3 linked regions of the Alligator mississippiensis genome follow. The protein of the gene in region 1 purifies or fractionates together with the protein of each later gene. This does not show direct contact. Links are inferred from orthologs where the notes say so. Each region holds a gene or a part of one and is shown on either strand. Other genes may lie near its edges.

Region 1 (8,194 bases):
GGGCTTTTTTCTGTATCAGTGTTCAGATTTCATACTCACTCCACAGTGAAATGCACATTCTAATTTCTGCATTACAGATGGTTTATTTTCCTGGTCTAATTTTTCCCATTCATTTTTGTTTCATTTCTTTTTTTTAAAGGACAACTCCCGCAGGGCATATTGTAGAATGTAAACTACAGCTTGCAGTCTTTTACATCATTTCAGTTTTAACATAGTCTTCATGAAGTTTCTATGGTAGGAAAGTATTATTGCTGTGAAAACAAAAGCTAATATGCCTAGTGCATTTGCAAAGGCATTTCTCATTCCTGAGGTTAAACTGACATCTACTGGTGTCCTGTAATAGTTAATATACTAATAAAAGCAATTAATTTAATTTACAGGAATCCATTATAGTATTTTTTTTTTACCACGAATGAAATATTTCTGGTTTAGTTTCATCATATCTTTCCTCGCTTTGTTTTTGTACCAATTGACTTCTTAAATTTCAGTAAAAACAACATTCTAAGAAGTAGCCACCTCATGTGGAGAATGATTTCCCTTTTTTTTTTATTTTAGGAAATTGTGTATAGGTCATTTTATAAGAAAATGAGTTGTCTGAACTCTATAAGCAAGAAAAACTTCAGTGTTCCCTTCAGTGAAATACACACCACTGTAACAATTTAGAGCAGGATAAGATCTCAGAAATACCTATTTTCTAAAAACATGCCAGGTGGTCTGGACTATTGATATCCAGCTGAGATGCGGGATCAAATAATATACTTAACCCAGCTGTAGCTAAATCAGGACACATTGGTTAAGAAAATCCTGTTCAGTTCTTGGAGAGGGAAAAGTGTCATGATATCATAAGATCTTCCTTCCAATAACAAACCATAATCAAGATGTCTGTTTGTCTCATCTGAAAGAGCAGTGTAGTATTCTCAGGTTTCATAATGAGGTTCAGTCCTGGATGATAGGAAAGAATGGGGAGTATTGAATCATTTACCTGCAGGAAAGCAGATTTGTTTTTTTTGTGGGTTCTCATCAAGTACTCACCAGATCTAATTGTGCTTGATTTGAGATTATTTGAACACAAAGCCTTGGAGAACAGAACTGCAGGGAACTCAGCAGAATAATGCAACTGCAAAGCATACTATTAGAAGTCCTGTTGCCATTTTGAATGTAACTTTACTCTTACTAAATTCTAAACCTGGCTCCAGGATGCATTTGTATGAATGTTTCATGCAGTTAACTCAAGACCAGCTCCAAGATTGTGATCTCCGTGTATGACTGCACCCACTTCAGACAGGGCTGAGCCTAAGTCACATCTAAATCTGGGTGTGATCCAGAAACTAGGTATTCCTCCACATTGGCCCCCGGAGGACTTGATCTCAGAGCACACCTGTAAGATTTGGCTGCTAACCAACAACTGAAGTTGCAGATACCTTTCTTTTACAGTATAGATAAAAGTAGTGATGTTTGGAGCACTCCTTAGAGAAGTGGTGCAGTCAGATTTAAAACCCTTCCTAGCTGAAAGGGTTCAATCCCTATGTCCCAGGAGAATCCCCATAACCCATGTCTCAGGCCTGTTTTACCAGGCCATAGGCAGTTGGGCATTCCTTTTCCTGAAGCGATGCCAATGTGCAGAAAAGAATTAAAGCTTCATTAGCTAGAAAGGGAAGAAAAAGGGAGCATGACACTAGACTTGTGATAAGTATACTCACCAGGGAGACCTGGAGCCTAATCCCCGAATGACAGTTGCAAAGGAGGTGCAACAAGTGTTATTTGGCACAGCAGTGTCCAAATGAGATGTGGAGGTAGCTAACTTGGATACATCAGCTAGGGTTTGCCAGGAACACCTACATACCTTATACAGGCAGTCCTCAGACTTACGACACAATTGGTTCCTGAAAACCGTGTCTTAAGTCGAAACGTTGGAACTAGTAACCAATTTTCTCATAAGAAACTATGTTATAAATGGGGGATTGGTTCCTGAACCAAGGCCCAGTACCCTATTTTCACCAAAAATACCCTAGAATTTTGTATTCGATCAATTATAGATGAGTAATGTAGCTACATTAATATATTTATATTGTAAATAACAATCATAATGATTTGGAAGGACTTCCTTGAGGTGACTTTGCTGGACTCTTTAAAGGGCTCTTGGTTGGACTTTTTGAAGGGTTCTTGGCTGGAGTCTTCTCAGGAGTCTTGGCTGCAGGTTTTTCTGGAGTCTCGTCTGCTTTCTTAAAGAAAGTGTCCAAGGAAGTTTGGACAGATGTTCTCCAGGGAGATGAGTGAAGCCGCGAAGTTGTTCGTTGGCATGGCATTGCATTGGATCAAGCGTTGCAAGTCAAAATTGGTGTTGTAAAGTTGAAACAGGGTGTCAATTTATAAATGTTGTAAGTGCAAAATGTTGTAACTCAAAACGTTATCAGCTGAGGACTGCCTGTACATTTCTGGGGTGTGGCTCACACTTAAGCCCAGCAGAAGCTTCCCGGCTTTGAATTCAGATATGATCAGTGCTGTGAATTAAAATTGCAAATTCACCAGAATAAGCTAAACAAGTTGCTTGAAATCTGTAGATAGTAAAATCAGTAAAAATGTAGATGGTGAAATATTACACGTGGTAAACAAATGCATGCTCCTCAGTATGCTTCGTTGCATTGACAATATGTTGTCATTAGAAGCCCCCAGAGTCACTAGATCTACTGACAAAAATCACTGAATTGGCAACGTTAGAAGTTGGGTGCAAATTACGGGGGAGCTTGGGGAGGGGAGGAGGAGGCAGACACTCCCCATAAGAGACAAGAGCCCCCCTGTACGATTTGAAAATCATAACCTGGGGGGGTCTCCAATTGGATTGCTCCTTCCAATGAACCAGTTTAATTTTTTTCGCAGACCCCCCCCAGTCAAAGTGTAATCTGAACCCTGACTAGAAGTAATGGGTGCATCCTCCTGCAGCCAGAAGGAAAAGCCTAAAACCCTGTGAAGGGATGGAAAGTAAACTACTCTGCTGTCTCCAGGACTCCTGGGGGCTGGTTTCATGCCTCCCCATGCAGCATGCTGCCTATTGTGAATCCCATACTGAGGTGCAGTTCTCGGGCACTGTACAGGCAGTCCTCGACTTACAACATTTTGAGTTACGTTTCACACTTATAACGTTAATAGATTGACACCGTTTCAACTTTTTGACGTCCGTTTCGACTTTACAACACTTGATCTGACCTGACGCCATGCCAGTGAACAGATTTGCTGTGCCGCCCATCTCCCTGGAGAACATCTGTCCAAACTTACTTGGATACTTTCTTTAAGACAGCAGACAAGACTCCAGAAAAACCTGCAGCCAAGACTCCTGTCAAGACTCCAGAACCCTTCAAAAAGTCCAACCAAGAGCCCTTTAAAAAGTCCAGCAGTCACCTCAAAAAAGTCCTTCCAAATCAATATGAATGCTATTTACAATATAAATATATTAATGTAGCTATATTACTCATCTATAATTGACTGAGTACAAAATTCTGGGTTATTTTTGGTGAAAATAGGGTACTGGGCCTTGGTTCAGGAACCAATTCCCCATTTATAACATTGTTTCCTATGGGAAAATCGGTTCCGAGTTGCAACGTTTCGACTTAAGATGCGGCTTTCAGGAACCAATTGTGTTGTAAGTCTGAGGACCGCCTGTATAGGTACTTTATCCAGAGCAGTGTATTGAACTCCAGGAGCAAGAAGCTCAACCTTTATGCACTGCAATATTTAAGTCCCTCCAGCCTTAAGTTCCTCCAGTCAGGGTCAGACCAGTCTAGTTGGGGTCAGGAAGGAATTTTACACCATGGTCAGTTTGGTATGTTTGGGTGGCTGTTCCAGGAGCCTGGGCACAAATCCAGCTTCGCCCTGATAACCTGCCCAAGGGGGAGAGGTTGGCCTTCCTCTGTAGCAGGGCGGCACGGCTTTCTCCTTGGGATCTCTTGAGCATAAAATGACATTCCATAGAAGTAAGACACTGGCTACCATGGATCCCCTGCTTTACCTGTGGCACAGGTTACGGTGTTAGGTCTGTGCTGTGTCTTTGTTGATGGTAGTCTTAAATAAAGTTTATATCAGGGGTGGACAAAATATGGCCTGTGGGCTGGATCTAGCCTGTCAACATACTTGGCAGGCCACCAAACTCAGTGGATCTGGCCTGCAGCTGGTGGCTCCAGCTGCTGTGGTTCCAGGTGGGCGGGTGGCACTGTTTCTGCCCAGCAGCATCAGCTGTGGACTCAGGTGAGGCCTTCTACCGCAGCAGGTGGGCAGCAGCATCAACTGTGGACACCACCGGCAGGTTCAGGAGCCCCAACTGAGAACCTGCTGGTGGATGCACAGCTGATGCTGCCACCTTCCCAGCACAGTAGAAGCTCCTGCCTTGAGCCCCAACCAGGAACCTGCTGCCAGTAGCAGCTGTGGACCCAGGTAGCAGCTTCAGTGGCACTGGGTTGGCGGTGGTGTCAGCTGTGGCTGCTGCCGGCAGGTTCTGCATCAGGGCTCTTGAATCTGAAAGCAGTGTCCACAGCCTGCCTGCCCACCATGGCAGAAGTCCCCATCTGGGCCTACAGCTGGGCACTGGGGCTCCTGGCAAACTACAGCTCACACGAGGATCTGGAGGGAGGGAGAGAGAGGGATTAGGAGAGAAGAGCGAGACACAGAGAGAGGGATGCGGCCCTCAACGGGTCACCAAGACTCATGAGTGGCCCCACAGCAGAAATACCTCCTCCCCCCTAGCTTAGATTGTGAGTTGTAGGGGACGGTTTGGATAGGGACAAGAATGCTCCTGCCTCAGGCAGCGGGTTGGACTAGCGGAGCCCTGGAGGGCCCTTCCCGCCCCGCTGCCCCAGGCTCGCTTTTCCGTCCTGGGTTAGAGGGAGAGGTGCCGAGAGGAGCGTGGCTGCTGCCTGGAGCCTCGTGGCGGGCCGGTTCCCCAGCGGGGGGGGTTTGACTACTACTGTTCGTGACCGGGGTTTAGTTGCAGCCGCTGGCTTCCAGCCCCGCGGGGAGCCTTCCCGCCCGTCTCCAGCCCCGGCCCGCGGGGCCGCCCCGAAGGACGAGCGCGCCCTGTGCCGGCCCCGGCCCGGGGGAAGCTGCGCTGCGCGCCGCGGCGGACCAGCGCCGGCCTCGGCGGAGGGGAGCGCAGCGCAGCGGAGGCCGGGCCGCCCCGAGCCCGCGGAGACGGGGCGGGCGGCAGGGCACTGGCCAAGCCTCGGCCCTGAGCCGTGGCGGGGGGTCGGGTCCGGCTGTCCCCCCGGGCCGGGTTATGAACTTCCCCCCCGCGCCGGTGGATCCCGCCGCCGGGGGAGGGGGCCGGGCAGGAAGGGGCGAGGCGAGGCGGAGCCGGGCCGGCCTTGGGCTGCGGCAGCTTCGTGGGAGCCGGGGAGAGACGGTGGGAGCCGCGAGCCCGGCAGGTAGGCGCGGCGCGGCGCCGCCCAGGGCCTCCCGCGGGCCGGGGCCGGGGCCAGGCCGGTGTCTCGGGCTGCCGTCGGGGGGGGGCGCTGCCCGCGGCCGCCGGCTCCTCGGCGCGGGGCTCCGGGCTGGCAGGCGGCGGAGGTGGCCCCGCAGTGACAGCGCCGAGCCCCCCGCGGCGCCTCCCCCCGGGCCGGGGTCGCTGCCTGCGCCGAGCCCCGCCACCCGCTCGCCGCCCGCCCCTCGGAGCTGGGCCGCCCGACGCCTCCCCCGCTCGTAGCCCCGCTTCCTGAGCCGAGTCACATGTCGGGCGGTTGTTTTCCCTTGCGGTCCTTATCGCTAACTCCGAGCTGCCGCCTGCGTGGGGCCCCGGACATGGTTTAAAGCGGGCTGGGGGCGCCGGGCTCCCCCGGGAAGCCTTGGACGCGCGTCGGCCCGGCGCCGGGCTCGCCCAGGAGGGAAGCGGGCGCCGCTCACTTGGGCTTAGTTCGGCTGCTCGGGACGAAGTGACCCTGCGGCTCCTTGGGCGTTTTTTAAGGAAAAAGCCCCCCCTCGCCCCCCCATAGTTGGCTCTAATTCCAGAGAAAAACCTTGGCCTGCAATTGGCCCTTAAACAGCCCAGTTCAGAAGTGAGTCACCAAGGCAAGGACCCAAAGGGGGAAAGGCACTAAAAATACTAAAGTGAACATTGAAAAAAAATGTGACTTGGTATTTTTATTGCATGTACAAAAACTACTGGAAGTTCAAAAGTCAAGACTGGGAGGGAGCCCGATGTAGACTGACGGTGTGCCAAAGTCAAGTTCAAGTCTGGGTTTTTAGGAGGAAAAAGGCAGACTTTTACCATCTAAACAATAGGGGAATTTGGTGCTCAGGTTTAATGAACTTTAATTAACAGGCTTTAAGGTCACACCTTCAGTTAATTCAACTTCACTTTTCCAAGCGACTCAGTGGACACAAGCTCAAAAAGAAGCAAAAGTGACTAGGTCGTGTACGTACCTGGTTGTATTACAAGTGCAAAAACGCGGGGCCAGAAGCACAAGTTTCATCAGATAACATTTTAATAAGCAAGTAAGATATTTTTAAGAGGAAGTTTTGAGATAGGAAGCTCAATAATAGAAATCAAATAACTGATATATTTTTATTTTTAAAATGCACAGTGCTGTTGTTCCTGTATCTAAGCTTACAGAATTCTTTAAATTATTCCATTTATTGCTTCTCAAATAACATCATAACCTGCAATGTTTGAAACCAATACCCAAAGCCAGAGCAGAATTCCAGTTATGCCAGTCATAAAACTTCTTCAGTAGGACGCTATATAGGATCCTGCTTTTGAAGGGCATCGCCACACCCAGAGACCTACTCAAATTCACAATTTCATGGAACCTGTGAAATTGGGCATTGTTCGTGAAATCCTCTAAATTAAAAAAAATCCTAAAAATAAAATGCTGGCCTCCCAGTGGGAGGGCAAGCTGCTGGCAGGCAGAGTGGTCCCTGGGCTGCAAGGGGGGGTGTTGGTGCTTCCCTCCACAGCAGTGGTGGACCCCCTCCAGGAGGCACCGGGCTCAGGTGGTCCCGGGGGTCACTGCAGCCGTGGAGGGAAGGATCAAGTCCCCGTGCAGGCTCTCTGGGAGGGTGTGGGGAATCAGGCTTACCGCTTTTCTTTTCTTTTTTTTCTTCGGTGGAGCCTGTCTTTCTGGGCTGCTGCCTGGCTGCTTACACGAACTGCCTGCACAGCCCCTGAGCCGCACGGAGCCTGGTGCTTCGCTCCATGGCTGTAGGGCAGCAAACTAAAACTCCTTGGAGGTGTTAGTTTGCTGCGCCCCAAAGTCATTTAAGGTATATTACGCCACGAAATGTGCTACAGCAGCTGGAATTAACGCACAATACGCCACTGATGTGTGCAAACACCAATGCCATTAAAGCGGTGCAAAAGCATTTAACTTGCTTTAAAGTGTCGTGCACACATGCCCAATAGCAACTGCCTGAAAAGGATTCTGTTTAACTAAGTAGTTGACAAGTTATGGAAAGCCTTATTGTTCAGAACATGAAAAACTTTATCTGTACAAGTGTTTATTAGTTTGTTGCTCTTCTACTGAAAAATTTTGGGTGCCCTGACAAACCAGTATATATAGTCTGGTGTCAGAGGGAAAGACTAGTTTATGTCTGTGTTTTCGTAAGTGTCACTAATGACAATGATGACACCTAGATACGTCTGTGCTGCACTGTGGGGAGGGCCACGTACATAAGCCATGTGCATGTTCGGGTGACTAGCGCAGGACTCACTAGTGAACAAGAGCCTGAGTAGTTGAAACCAAAACAGAGAAGGGCAGGTCAGACATTCAGAGGTCAAGAGGAGGGGGCAACCATTCCCCCCCACCCCGATGGATTTGAGATTCACTTCATACTAGGAAAATACTTTGTATTTTTTAGATCATTCTCTTGATTCTTTTCCTTACCAAGTATACAGGTGAGTTTTATTTCTTCTACTTTTTCACTCCAAGCAGTGCCTGCCCTAGTTCTGATAAAAGATATAGGTTTCCTTCACTTTATGTGGCTTCTGTATGTGCAAATTTGCTCTTATGAGACTATCCTTTTTATACCAACAATTTGTTACATGCGAGGCAAATTCATTCTTATGTGACTGGTGTTGTGCAAATGCACAGTCAGCTGCCATGTGCAGTGCATCGTGGGAGTGACGCACAGCAAAATATAGTCTCCTGTGTGGATCTGTGCTCCTTGCTTGTCTGCCCCACGTGTTTCTGTAGTTGCCTTCCCCATTATGATA
Region 2 (7,413 bases), on another chromosome or scaffold:
GGGGGAGCGGGTCCAGTCCCCAAACAGCAGGAGGGAAGGGGGAGTGGGCCCAGGGCTCCATCCCCACCCGCTCCCCCCACACCTGTCATCCTTGATGGGCAATTGGCTACTTTATAATAAATATGGTCAAACTACAAAAGAGTAGGTACATTAAGGAATATTTGAAAACAAAATATTTAAAATAGCAGTGCTGGCATGAACATTCCCTGTCTCCCCAAAGATATTCCAAAACAATACACACACAGATTCTGTTCCATTGTATTTTGATGATGCAATTTAAACAAATATCTATATATCTATATAAAAAGTGTACACTTAATGTAAACGTAAAGTGAACACACATATGTATACATATACATAAAGTGTTCACTTTACGCTTACTAACTTTAATAAGAAGTACAAAAAGGACTCTTGATATTGGCACTAACTAAGCAATAATTTCCTTGAAAACAGTGAAATAAACAAGGTCCACAAGACTGTATTGCCTGGAAATTCTATTTTGACTCTCCAGATTAGCACTATTGGTAAATCACTGGCAGCTCCCTTCACTTACATCAACAAGGTAGCAAAAATAATTAAAACTAGCGTTTATTTATAACTTCAGGTCATGCGTTTTTGCAAGAGGTGTCAAATTATTGCATTTTTTTGCCAGCATAGGCTTACAACTAAGCACACTGTACAGTTTGAAGATTTGTAAGATGAGTGACGTAAAAGAGCAGATGATACTCTCTCCACCCACCTCTGGATTTCTTGTGGCGTAACCTGCCTGTGTGTGAAAGCTACATCATGAATTAATTAAAATGAACAAATTTCTGAAGTTTAAACACATTTTATTACCAAATAATATTTTTAAATATAAAGACTACCAAAGCCAAGTACCATAATGTGGACAGCAATGTTGTTGGAAAAGATATTAAGTTAAAGTGCACAGCTAAAGCTGAACTAGTGGTTGGAGAAAAAAAGGGGAGGAAACTCTTAAAATTCCTGTGGTTCAGGGTGTAACAGAAACAAATGGTATTTACAGTTCCTCTGTTCAAATATTACTTATCTTTAATTCTACAGACAGCAAGCTGTTTCTGCAAAATAAAGTTTATATGAAACAAATTTGAAGGACTCCACAGTACTCTAGTTAATTCTTAACCATTTTAGGTCCAGATATTTCAGTAAAATTATTTCTATATATTAAACATATACATTTAAAGCTTAAAATAAGATCTGAGCTAACCCTAGGAGAACTTTAAGACCTAATTACCAGATGGAAAGAAAAACCAAGTAAATAGGAAATGAGTTAGGATTTAAAAGTTGAAGCATGTCACCATAAGAATTTTCACCAAAAGTGCCAGACACTAGGAAAGATCAACTGAAAGTTAGGTTAAAAATACACTATTGCAAACTGTTTCAAGAATATAAACATTCATAAAAGGCTTGTGTTCATGCTGTGAGGGAAAAAGAAAGCTTAACAATTTACTAATTACAATTCCCCTGGAAAAGATTCCTGTCAGTTTTTCATTAATCTAAAACTACTCACCTTGAGGGGCTTCCACAAAGTCCTGTTACACATTTCCCTTTTGGAAATTCCATTTCTTTTTTTAAAGCCATTAGTTTTTCCTTCATTCCCAGGTCGAAACTGTATGTGCAAGTGAGATGCCCCTGCCTTAGGACACTTGTATTTAAGGCTAGATAAATAGCAAGAAACTTTCTGGCAAGAACCTTCTAAGGACATGCTTCTTTGCAGAAAATGGTGGGTTTTGTTCATTTGAATATTAGGTCTTTTTAGTTCGTTTTCATTAATCCGATATTCTGAATGGCTTTTTGAGGGTAAACACGCAGATGTGCTATGTGTCAGTTTTAAATGAGGGCACTCTGCACTAGAGTTCAGATTTGATTCTGGACTGCCACAACTATTAACCATTTCATCCCTTGATGTAGATACTTTTTGAGTAAGGTGAACTGAAATACAAGAGAAGCCATCAGATGTTTCTTCACAAGTTGCCTGCTCAGAACTATCTGTGGCTTGACTTTTGGCCTGTAATGAAGTATTCAAGTAAAGTGGTCTAATCTCTCTAACCTCACCAGGAGAAAAAGCAGATTTAGAGAGTCGAAGTCCATTGACTGCTGTTGAAAGAAACTCCTTATTACCAGTTTGATTTTCATGTTGTGCTAGGTCACTTGGAGAAATAACTAGTTTATGTGAGGTCTGATATGCCACACTCTGTGGTGGAGGACCTGAGCTTGTTGGAGACATTGGTGGAGTACTGGAAGGGCTTCGAGGGAAAATTACCAATGATGAACAACGTCTTAGTGGAACTTTAGTTTTCCTCCTTGCTGACAATTTCATTTGCTCCAAACCATCTTGGTCAAAAATAGTATTACTTCGACACAAACATTCCTGAGATGCATCTTTCCTATAGGAATTATATTTGTTTGTAGTTCTTCTATACGAAGAGTTATCATACACAATGCTATTATAAAAAATACCATCACCTGTGGAAAGAGCGCAACTACTATTGTCACTAAGGACACTGTTGCAGTGTGAACCTCCATCACTTGTGGTACTTGTGCATGATCCATAGTCACTGCCAGCACTACTGAAGGATCCATTGTCACTGGCTGCAATACTGCCAAGACTGCCATTCAACATGGTAGTGCTGCTCAAGTGGCTGGTAGTATTTATCATGTTAGATGGATAATCAGCAATATTTCTCCCAGAACAGTTTCCTTCATTGCCGACACCAGTGAATGATGAATCCTCATTAGTAGCCACTGTATCACCAGACTGAAGACATCCACTGTACTTTCTAGACTGCAGGGAAATCTGAAGTGAAGTGCTCTTTTTGTTGTTTTTTTGCAGCGAAGAACCACTTGCGCTTTGCTGTTGATTAATTATTTCTTGCATTACAGGTGGAAAGACTGCTTGCCTGGGAGTCAGTTTCATTTCTATGACATTAGATGCAGAATTCTGTGAAGATCTTTTGAAATGCATATAAATATTATTATCCAAGTCATCTTCAGAGGTTTCTGACAGTGGATCGGTGTTGCTTCTTCGGGCTGCAAAATGCAATCTTAACCTTCGTGCCATCTGTACTCATTTCTACACATGTTAGCAAATGAAAACCATAAAGCTCCTTCTGCAGAATAACTTAAGGCAACTTCATAGAATCTAGATCCAGTTCAAGTACATCACAAAAGTAAAAGCCCATTAAGGTTGCAGACTTCGTACGAAATTCTACAAGATACTAACTATTATACAAAAATTACCTCCTGGAATAAATCATCCATTCCCTGAAATGCAGTTTCTGGACTGTCTGATTGCTTGTAGTCAGAGAGCATACACACAAAGCACTTGAGTTCCAACGACCTTTAAACTGAACTCAGCTGCCGCATTCTGACAAATACTGCCAAGCGTATTGCAATTATACCTTCTGTAAGTTGCATAAATGAATACAACTCAAGAATAATCTCCTAATGCTTCAAGTTTAAAACAGCAACTCCTGCTGCAGCTACACTAGCTGAGTCAATTTGTCCGTACTTTCCCTCAGCAGCGTATGACTACTAATATTTTTACCCAGAGGTTTAGAATTACAGGAAGTTGGTAGGAATGAAGTCCCATATAACAGAGTACCAAATCTAGCATTGAATTTCCAAATAGTAGCCATGCTAAAAAACTTGTGAAAGTTTGAATATTGGCATATGCCGATAAAACTAACCAATTTTGTATTAATAAAAGGTTAAAAAAACAGAAGTTATTTCAGGAATCTTAAAGTTACTCAGTAATCATACATAACATTGATTGTCAATTAGGTGAGCCCTCTACCGTTTTAGTTAGCTTTTTGTTTTAAGCAAGATGCAGAAGAGTTAAAATTAAGTATAAAACTGTCCACTTTATAATTTACCATTCAAGGTTCCAAATGTTTTTCTGAAATGTGTACATCCAACCCCTTTCCAAGTCAAAGCTGTGCTTTGTTAGCATTATCATCCACTTTTCCTAATCCATACATTTCAAACTGAAATATCCGGTTTGTTGGCCAGCAATTCCTGATCGGCACTAGCTTCTTTGGATATTTAAAAAAGGTTAGATAGCCAGGTTATTTAGTGGCATGTCGACTCCTGAAGTTTGTTTGTAGCTATTCATCCAGAAGCAGACATAAATCTGAATTTCACAATGTATTTTTTCCCTCCCAATTGCAGTACAAGTGTGCAATCCAATAGGTACAACCGACAGGAAAGAGATGGCTTCCAAGCTACACTATAACAATTATTGTATGCAGACTTTTAAGTTATATTCACAGTTAGCTCATGTAAAAGTGATTGTTTTATATAACAATTCATCTGTAACCAAGCAAAAACATATTGGCAGTATTTTCCAAAAATGTAAAACTGAACTAACTTGGACAATTTCTGAGTGTTTCAGTTTATCATGTAGACCAAAAAGGCCCTTTGCTGGCACCTGGTGGAGGTTTTTAAAATTGACACTCTTACTGTTACTACGAGCGTCTGAGGTAAACGTCCGTTCATGAAAGTACTTCTGAATACAGAAGCCATGCATCATGCAGTGCTAAACCCTACCATGCTAACATGGGATTATTTACTGCTGTTGATAAAGTCCAAACAGTAGAGAACACTAGACCATTTATATATATATTTTAATAGGTCATACTGATGGCTTTTTTTCTTACTCAATATTTACTTAACCATTACAGTATTTTCAGTCTGCATGCAATAAAATTAAATTTTACCTTCTCCCAACACAAGAAACCAGTAATTAAGTGTCTGTAGTACATTATTCAAATGAAACAAGTTTATCTTTTAATAATACTCCTGGGCTCATTTAACCCTTTCATTATCCAAAGTTGACAGATGCAACAATACATACATGCTAGCTAATTCATAAAAAAGGCAACAAAATACAATAGTTCAGCTATTTTTCAGGTATCACTAACCAGAATTCTTCAAACTGAACATTAAGAGGAGGAAAAGAGGTCAAAGACCCCCAAAAGCTTTTTTTTGTTCACAGCTTTAGAAAGCTATGTTTAGTTTTCAAGCAATTTATTTTCCTCAAGTCTCAAGATTTGAAGGAAAGCAGGAAGATTTCATTTTTTACAGAAGCAAAAGTGGTTCTATAAGCACCTTAACGTTTATTAATTTTAATTCAAAGAAAAACAGCATTTTAAATACCTACCAGAGCGCAACCGTTTTCGAAACAAGATCTGAGGGATGGTACTAGGCTCAACATTTCCCCCTCCCCTTCTCCATGCCTATACAATTTTAAATATTTTTTCCCCTATACTTATGGTAAAATGGGAGAAGAAGTAAGCTGACAGTAGTTTCACCAACTAGGGTGTCAAATTTAAGCCAAATGTCATGACGTCCTTTAGTCAACTTAGCTATTTAAAAAAGGACCTCCATTATGGCCTAGTTGACCAAAATTATATGGCTCTTGATGCAGAATTCTGGCCTGCTGAAGTCAATAGGAAATGCTAAAGATCAGTCTTTCAAATATCATATTCAGGAATGTTTGCAACACTTATAATACTGGTCAGTGCTACTTTATTTGTCATGATGGGAACAGCTATGGGCACCAAAATGGCCCCACAGTATGCCAACCTTTTTATGAGCCACCTAGAAGAAGACTTGCTCAAGAACTGCACCATCAAACCCTTGCCATACTTAAGATATAATCGATGACATCTTCATCATGTGGACTGAAAACTTATGATCTCTGAGTTCCATCAGAAATTCAACAATCACCATCCCTCCATCCAACTTTCTCTAGAATGCTCCAGCACCAACGTCTCCTTTTTAGACACGATGATCAGTATCCAGAATGATAAAATACAGACCACGTTATACAAGAAACCCACAGACCAACGTACATATCTGAACAGAACCAGCAATCACCCTAAACACACCAAAAAAGCTGTGATATACAGCCAAGCCCTCAGATACCACCAAATTTGCACTGAAGAGAACACCCGGGATTTCCACCTCACCAATCTTAAAAAGGCTTTCACCCAACAAGGACACTCCTCCAGAGAGAGAGATCGCACGTTTGAAAGAGCCACCCAGATACCACGTAAAGAACTGCTGCAGTACAAAAGAAAAACCCCCACAAATCGCACACCGCTGGTTATGACATATCACCCCTCCCTTGAACCTGTACGGAAAATCCTCAAACAATTGCAACCCATACTAGAAAGAGACCCTATTCTTAAAAAGATCTTCCCAGAGCCACCCATCCTAGCCTTCAAACAAGCACCGAACCTCGCTAACCTCATCACCGGAAGCAAACTTCCTCAAGCCCAGAACACACCAAAAGGATCCAAACCGTGCCATGACAAGAAATGCAAAACCTGCCAACACATCTCTACCACCCCCACAATTACTACACCCCACAACAGAGCCATCACCATTCCTGCATCTTACAGCTGCACCTCCAGAAATGGAATATACCTCATCCAATGCACCAAATGCCATGATGGAAAATACGTAGGAGAGACCAAACAATAACTGCGCACCAGAATGAACGCACGCTGGAAATCTACCAAAGACAGAAATACCTAATTACCTGTGGGGGCACATTTCTCACAAGAAAACCACTCTCTCCCCAATCTCTCAGTCCTGATCCTCAAAGGAAACTTACACAACACTTCCCAGAGATGAGCCTATGAACTCAACTTCATCAACCTCCTGGATACTAAAAATCATGGACTAAATATAGACATTGGATTTATGACACATTATCATCTGCCTGACATCTGACTTCCCAGGTATCTCTCCACTTTTATCCCCCTTCTCTCTCTTCCCCTGCCCCTCCCCAGCCCATCTCTCACCAATTGACTCCTCAATCTACATTTTCACTGACTACCTGTCTTGCATGCATACCAGCCCAGCTGCTGGCTTCTTTACTTTTCATTCCATCCAGGAAGAACACACACCAACTGCTGAAACTTCCTTAGCCTGACAAAGGGTTTTTGAACCTGAAAGCCTGCCTAATAATTGTTTTCCAACTATTTAAGTTGGTCTAATAAAAGATATCAGATTCACCCAAAGAACCTTGTCTGACTTTATTTGTCATATAGTTGTGTATACCATGTCTCCAACACTAAACTGCTCTATAAGTAAGTAGTAGTCATTTATACCAACCAGTATTCAGATTAAGGAGAGTTGCTTTAATAAACTTTCATTTTCTCACATGCCTGGTTTAGAGCTCATCTACCATATTTATTCAAATCCAAGATAAGGTTATTTTCCCCATTAAACAGAGAAAAGAGCCCCAAGCCTTTGATTTGGGTGCAAGTGTTGGGGAGGGAAGGGGCAAGATAATTAGCTACCCAGATCTTCCCACCATCAAATGACACAACCACGGCTGGGAAGGGTTGTAGGTACACATGTAAAGATGGTGCATTTGATGCT
Region 3 (7,678 bases), on another chromosome or scaffold:
GTTCAGGACTTGTAGGAACTGGCTATATATGCTTGCATTTATGATTTCACTGATATTCTCTGGCTTGCCCTTGGCCAGTTTAGGACTCTGTAATGATCCAGACTACTGGAAGTCTTGTTGCTTTAACAGCAGAACAGGTACTACACAAACATGTTAAACTCCTGGTCAGAAATAAACCCAATGAATTCATACACAAGGTGGCTCAAACTCCTCAATATAGTTAAATTTGGAATTTCCCCTGAATCTCACAGATGTGTCTTCCCAGTGTGGATTATCTTCTTTGTGTTGCCTCAAGTAGAATATTGGGAATAGCCCACTATATTCAGAGGAGTATTTGTTCCTTGGCTACAGTATTGGGAAAGTTTTCTGAAAATGCACAGTGTGTGTGGTCTACCTTTAATTCAGTTTTACAAAGTGTTCCTTGTGGTGAATAGTCACCACATATAGATAGATGAACAGAGGGTAAATAATAGAAAGACAGTATATTTCTGAATGAAAAATCTCAGAATCCAGGCCAAAAGAGAAACAGCCTCTTAAAAATCTGTTTGGTGCATCACCTGTTAGGATTTGCAGCTGCAGTACTAATGAAGTCCCCAGAGTCCCATCAGTCTGGCCATCTAGGGACTTTCATGGTCCAGTAACCATGGAGCCTCCTATGCCTGGTAGGATAGCTCTCTTGGTATGCAGTAGCCACATCTCTCTCCTTTGGAGTTTTCTGCTGGAACAGGAAAGTAGCATATAGTATGCTCTATTAATTGCTGTATATAGAAATATAATATTGAAACTTAGAATGTTTGCTGCACATTTAGGCATGAAGCATTCTTGCACTTGCACATTAAGCGTAATTGGAGCTGGGCACAAAGCTTTTTGGCCTCTCATCCTTATGGTTGTGGTTTAGTTATTTAACAAACTGCAATAAATGGCTTATGTCACCATAAAAGTAATGAATGTAAAGTAACACTGTTTGTATTTTCTGATAGGTAAACCCAACCAATCATCGACTCCTGTTTGAAGTGTTTGATGAAAACAGATTGGTGAGTATAGTCCTTGTACTGCTCTTTGTATTTTTATTAAACACAAAGTGAAGCACAGGAGTGCCACTGGCTTCCCGGTTGGTGAGATTGGCTGTGGGGACCCCCCCAGTGATTGACTGGCCACTGGGGGGGGCATGTGCCTCCCCCACTCTGACTCAGGTGTTACCAGTGGCCCATGCACAGATGTCACACAGCTTCTTTAAATTCTTGGATACTTTGACATATCCTAATTCAGGGCTTGGCTACTTTTTAGGAGTGGCATACCAAATTGACAGAGCTCTGTTCATGGGGGGAGGAGGGAAAAGAAGGTGCTGCTTCTGACCCAGCAGCTGCCACCACTTCTTATTTACCACCACCAAATTACTCCTGATTCTCCCTGATGTCTTGGCTTTGCAGGCTAAACAAAATCTCTTGAGGAGGTTGCTGACCCCTGTTCTAATTAAAAAGTTCATATTATCTGGGATGTTTCAGCAGCTACACCAAGGAACATAAAATGACGCACATAAACCAGGACATCAGTCTGTTTTACAGCATCAATATTCAAATTTATTTTCCTGTACCAAGGTCATCTTTTGCAATGGGGAAGTTATAATGAAAATTCTAGCCTTCCAAGCCTTATGAGCTGCTCGTTTTGATAAGATTAAATAGCTGTCACTCTTTAATAGGTATCTGTGCAAAAATCTTTATGCTTTGGTTCTGGGGAAAGTAGAAGAGATTGGTGCCATATTATACTTTGTAAACTACTAAAATAAAATCCAACACTTTTAGCACCACTCTCCTGTGTTATTACATAAAATGTTCATTTTGCTCTGATTAGGATAAGTACATTGTGTTTCAGCAAAATGTGTGTACTATATTGGGATGAGTGGGAGGGGAAATAAGTTTTGCTAGGTAGTTGGAATATGTTTTTATTACTTTATGAGATCTTTAACATCAAAACAGATCATTCATAGAAAAGCAGTTTCTTTTTTCTTCCCTATGTCTCCATTAACTGTAGTGCAAGATAGAATATACATACAGACTCTTAAGGGGAAAGGTCTAGGGAATATTGTAAGGAAGTAACCCAACATAGGTATATGGACTCTGTGGTTGTTGGTGTGCATTTAATCAAAAGAGAAATTGGGATCATCTGTTATACAAACATAGGCCACCTCCCTTTGACCTACAGGAGATTCTTAGTTAGATTTGGCTAGCTGTAGTCTTCTTTGTAGGCTAACCAGTGGGTGGGACAACATCATAACCTTTTGAATGGGTCTTATTCCAGGCAGCAGAGGGCAGTGTTGTGCAGAGTCAAACCAGGCAGAAGGCAGGGCAGAGTGTCACCGTATAAACTAATTCAGAGGCATACGTTTTTGTAAACAATAGCTTACTTCATCATATGCTATAATTTGGCTGGACATGATGCCATTCTCAGCATCTGACAGTAGAGTTGTTGCTTACAAAAGCTTATACCTCACTTAATTTGTTAGTCTACACAGTGCCACTCTGCCCTGCCTTCTGCCTGCCTAATTTGGCTAACCGCCTCCTGAAGTCAAACCAGAATGCAATAGTTTAGTGGCAGTCACTTAAAAGGTATTTTTCAACTGTTACTGCAAAGCAACATTTGAGACCTTTCTCTTGCTTACGTTTCAGATATTATGTTTGGTAACTTGGGGTGCTTTTTTAGATGGAGCTAATGTGCATATGTGTGTGTGTGTGTGTGTGTGTGTGTGTGTGTGTGTGGTGTATATATATATATATATATATATATATATATATATATAAAACAAAGAGCACTTATGGTTCAGTTTATCATAGTGTTAAGTTATGTGCCTAGGCTGAGGGTGCATTGAACTGAATTTTATTAGATTGATTTCTATGTTATGACTATATTTTGGGAGCCAAAACACTTATTTTTCTATGTTACAGTTTATTTTGGGAGTAAATAACTAGTATAAAGCCTAATTTTGTCAGGGTTTTTTTTTCATTTTTTGGTTCAACTTGTACCATAGCCACCACAGAACTGTGAGATTGGAGAAGGTTGCCCCTGCTACCCAGCCCTGCCACAACCAAAAATATTTGGTAACAAGTTTTTAAGCATTAGTGCAAAAAGTCTTTGTCATCCAAATAGTCTAAAACCTTCTTTGTCATCTGAAATGTGTATTAAAATAATAATAGCACCTGGGATTGCATCAGGCAATCTTCAGTACTGTTGCTGCTTAGAAAATACCCATGTTTTTCTTGTTGTTGGCTCATAGTCCAGTTAAAACAATAGAGGATTGTCCTGGCCCGTGGCTATTTTGTCATTTAAAGTAGCTTCCATTTCTCCTCTAATTGGTCACTTTCTGTTTTTGAAAGCAATCTGTTGAAAAACAGAGGTTTAATGCCTAAGTGGGGGGCTGACCTACCCCCACAAGTTTTCATAGCTGTTGACAAAACTAGTGCTTTTCAAACAAGTTCCCTCTCTGCACTACTGAATGGGGGATACTTTTGTTTCTTTTTGAAGATTCTTTTTAATTGGTTGTTGTATGAACCATGAACAAGTGTATTAAAACTCCAGGGGCCCTCAAATGTGCTCCCCCCCTTTTTTTTTTTTTTTTTTAAACAGTGAGATTCTGGAGGGCTGATTTTTAGGGGATGTTATAATTTTGGGTTGTATGCTGTCTGTTCGTTGTTCTTTGAGCTCTTTTGGCTCTTAGCAAGCATAACTGTATTCCATGCTGGCAATCAGACTCGTGGTAATATTGCTAACTTTCTCATTGGAAGTCTGCCAGTGCTGGGCAGTGTTTTTGTACGGTGTTTAAGGGAAATCAGGACAAAGCTACATGCACACCCGTCTCCAGTTTTCACTCATCTTTGCTGCCTGGTAAATCCGAAAAAGAAACTGTCTCCTGCCATTTTGCTCATTTCTGCTTCTTGCGTTGTGTGTGAAATCCTTGTCATATGTAAGGTTTCTTTATTTGTTGTAGTTTTTATGTAGCGAATAAGCTGTACTGAGTAGCATAGGCTATGCTGTGTTTACAGTGGCAACGTGGAACTTGTGCCCTTTTCCAGAGAAAATAGTTTGTTACTTAAATCATTTTAAGAACAAGGAAAAATCTAAAGCATAACCATGCACTAATATTTATTTATGTTCTACCATGGTAGCCTAATGTTGGAACAGACACCACCGAAACGGATCAAGCCTGAGTCTGTCTCTTCCCTGAACCCTTTTCTACTTGCCTATCTGCGTATGACGTTGACTCAAACTTTTTAACACTAAATTAGAGTGGTTTTTTCTTTTCTAGTTAACTCTCTCTCTCTCCCTCCCTCTCTCTCTCTCTGTCTCTGCTGAGTACAAAAGTGCCCTGTGAATATTATGTGGTTTAGATTTATAGCAGTGCCGAGTGTGTTTGCTGCCTTAGTCAGCTGTGAGAGCTCTCCCGCTGGGGCCGCTCCTTTCTGATGGAAAAGGAGCAGCTGGGAAGGTGCTGTTTCAGGCTCTTGCTGGTATTAAAAAAAAAAAAAAAATCACTAGCTTGCATTGGAGAGGGGGAACCAGGTCATGTGATTCCAACCATCCTACCCTATGTGACAGTGTGTAGGAGCGCTGATTGCTCTTATCCAATCATGCCTGGAATGCTGCTTGCCACTTGGGCTATTTCTGCTATCTGTCGCTATCAGTGCTGCAGTGCTAACAGTTTGGCAGATGGGACACTTTTTCTTGGAGTTTATGTCTATGGTTTTTAACTTCTGGCAGTTCCTGAATTGCTGCTGTTTTCCTTCTCCTTTTTCTCTCTCTGTAAAACCATGGCCCATCGGCTGCGGTTTCATTTTGGCTCTGGACGAAGCAACACAGCCCCTGAATCGGAGATCCTAGACCGCGAAAGAGAAGATGACTTTTTCATGGCATTCCATACTTTGCCCCGAAGAAACAGTCCTCATCCTTTCTCCCGACATGGAGCGGATTATGGTGGCAGCGATTTACAAGAAGTGGGCACCTTAAAAAGGAGCACGTCCATGTTTATTCCTCAGCTGCTGAACAGTATTGATGTGCGCCCAACAAGGAGCTCATCTATGCACATTTCCCTTCAGCGCAAAGCGGTGAATGGCTATGCTGATGAGTGCGGAGCCCCAGATTCTCCAGATGAGACGCTTCCATGTAAATTCTCAGACTTTAGGGAGAATCTGACATCACCCATGGAAAGTTGTTCTTCCTCGCCAAGCAGTCCAGAAGTGACACCAGAAAATTCACCGCCCAGGGGGCCTGAAGAACTAGGGCAGCAGGTTAATGGAGCTGCTTCCTGTAACCATTCAATATTTTGTACAATTCCTTCCAGTAACCAGAGTGATGCTGCTGCATCTACTGCCCCAGATGATGAGGGAAGTGAAGCAGCTTCAGGTTTAAACATAAGTGGTGTACGAATTCAGCATCGTGCTTCCAGCGCCGATATGCATCAGGTAACACTTTTGCCCTTTGGGTCTGAGGCTCAGCACAATGTTCCTGCCTCTGAACTGAGGCGCTGGTCTTTGCAGCATCTGCCAGATATGTCAGCAAATTCAGGAAAAAAGCTTTTTGTTCTCCAGTTGCAGCAGCCACAGGCCAGTGGTACGGGTATAGGAGGCGATTACAATTTTGGTTTTACTGGAACAAAAGGAGACAGGTTGGTGAGATATCCCCGGATACGGCTGGAAAGGAGCACTTCCTACCCGGTCCAGCCACGACCAGAACAGATTAGCCCTGTGGAAGATGGAGCAAATTCAGAACTTCATGGAAATGGCAGAAATGGGTCAGAAATATCTAGAAGCAATTCAGTAGAAAGGATTCCTCAAGGACAAGGGGGATGCACGTTTAAAATCAGACCAGATCAAAACACAAGGCAGCAGCATTTCAGAATTCTTGTAACCCGTGGTCCTGAAGAACAAAATCAAGCTCCTGCTCAGGAGAGCCCTGGTACACCTGGTCCCACAGCAGCCAGGGCCACAGTAAGTACCTCTCTGAATATGCTTCCCTGGTAACCTATACAATCTAGTAAAGCTTCTTCATTTTCAGATAAAGATCTTCACTCATTTAGTACGAGAAGGCTCAACATTTCTCTGGAACAGTCTGTAAAGCATCTTTATTTCTAACCTAAAATAACTTTTGCTCCCAGTGATGATTACAAGTGTAATGTTTTGTTGAGATCCTAATGGCTCACATGTTGCTTAACTCAGTGTGACGTCAGCTGAAGAGACTTGGGATTGGGAGCCTGTGTCACTGTTCCTTAATTGCCTTAGCAGCGTGCTAGTCTTTGCTGTGCAAAGAATTCCTTTTTTTTTAAACAAATATTACAGTGCTTTCTGAATATAATATGTATACATACATACACATACCCACAGACTTAACATGAAAGCAAAATACACTAATAGCTTAGGGCTTGGAAATTACATAGTAAGTTTTGGTAAGGAAACTAATTTTGCTTTCAAACTATGAGGGGGTTGGAATTGTTTTTGTTATTACAAAAAATACTTTTGTACTTCATCTTTTCTTACACCAAAAAAACCCCAAAAAACAAAACTTTTCACATATGCCGTTTTGTGCTCTCTGCCTCTTCAGTGTCTAATGAAATGTGATCAGGCTACTGTAAATGCGGTTTTCACATCACTAAGTAACGTCTCGTTTTGTACATCTTGGGCATATAAGTGTCTCTTAACAGCATCTTGGGTATGATGTTGCATTATAAAGTGAAAAATTGTCTTATAATGCTTGTTTCTCATATAATGAGGGAGAATTTGTGTTTTATGTTATTTTAAACAATTATTTTAAAAACCCAAGCGTGGTTAAAGCTGAAGGGGGTAGAGGAGTCATTTGCTTGAATTGCTTTATAGTGCAATTTAACACTGCCCACTTGAGTTTCTAAGCTTAATGATGCTGTATATAGAATAGTAAGTATTCTATCTCCAGCTGTGAAAACAGCCTCGCTAGAACAATTTTGGCCTTTTATTACTTGTACACTGCCTTATTCTCTCACACTCTCTTTCAGTTAAACGTAGCAGAGAAAGACAGCTGCTAAATGCAGCAAGGCCATATGATGACTCTGCAGGTTTTATAGCAAAAAACAAATAGTATGGAAGTTATTCCAAGATAGCCATCTTTTTAACACTCCAGCACCCATTAGGAATACAAGAATACTTGTCCTCAAAGCTCTAATTCAGAACACAAAAACTTCTGTTCAATTTGTGTACCAGATAAAAACCCCTTGTATATGTATTGATTAGTGTCTTTGCTGGCAGCTTCTGGATATTTTGCATTCTGAATTCTCCTATTGAAAATATCTCTGGTGTTTTCCTTTCATTAGGAGTTCACACATGCTCTTCAATATGTTAAATAAAATGTTACTATTCTGTCACATAAACATTAAGTGTTTTTCCTTTTTTTATTTTCAGAAGTTTTAATCTGTAATAGTAGGCCTGAACTGCATACATATTTGGATACCGATTTTCCTTGAAATTTAAGGATGTTTCAGTGCAGGAATTTGGGAGAAAAAGGGCGAGTTGTGAAGCTCAATCCAAATTAATCCAGTTGTAATTTTTTGTAAATTTGGGGTAATTCACAGGCAGTCTTTTGGTTTAGGCCCTAGTCTAGAGTTGACCAGAGTTTTGAGACACCATCTAAACCTCTGTCAGGGAGGCTTCCACAGCATTTC

Evidence for each region.
Region 2: the proteins of LITAF (region 1) and NEDD4 purify together in Homo sapiens (co-immunoprecipitation; 4 studies listed by BioGRID and IntAct, counting the BioPlex papers as one, with this or other methods). This does not show direct contact. The link is inferred for Alligator mississippiensis from reciprocal best matches to the Homo sapiens genes LITAF and NEDD4.
Region 3: the proteins of LITAF (region 1) and NEDD4L purify together in Homo sapiens (affinity purification with western blotting; 3 studies listed by BioGRID and IntAct, counting the BioPlex papers as one, with this or other methods). This does not show direct contact. The link is inferred for Alligator mississippiensis from reciprocal best matches to the Homo sapiens genes LITAF and NEDD4L.

What each region holds. Positions count from the first base shown.
Region 1 is NC_081836.1:39,426,437-39,434,630, reverse strand, and holds the start of LITAF (lipopolysaccharide-induced tumor necrosis factor-alpha factor), read left to right. Parts: upstream 1-5,147; 5' UTR 5,148-5,263; coding exon 5,264-5,411; intron 5,412-6,363; exon of another isoform or gene 6,364-6,477; intron 6,478-8,194.
Region 2 is NC_081834.1:25,833,830-25,841,242, forward strand, and holds the start of NEDD4 (E3 ubiquitin-protein ligase NEDD4), read right to left. Parts: upstream 3,137-7,413; 5' UTR 3,080-3,136; coding exon 1,529-3,079; intron 1-1,528. UniProt on the Homo sapiens protein: E3 ubiquitin-protein ligase which accepts ubiquitin from an E2 ubiquitin-conjugating enzyme in the form of a thioester and then directly transfers the ubiquitin to targeted substrates. Specifically ubiquitinates 'Lys-63' in target proteins.
Region 3 is NC_081826.1:283,189,920-283,197,597, reverse strand, and holds the start of NEDD4L (E3 ubiquitin-protein ligase NEDD4-like), read left to right. Parts: upstream 1-4,542; 5' UTR 4,543-4,802; coding exon 4,803-5,978; intron 5,979-7,678. UniProt on the Homo sapiens protein: E3 ubiquitin-protein ligase that mediates the polyubiquitination of lysine and cysteine residues on target proteins and is thereby implicated in the regulation of various signaling pathways including autophagy, innate immunity or DNA repair.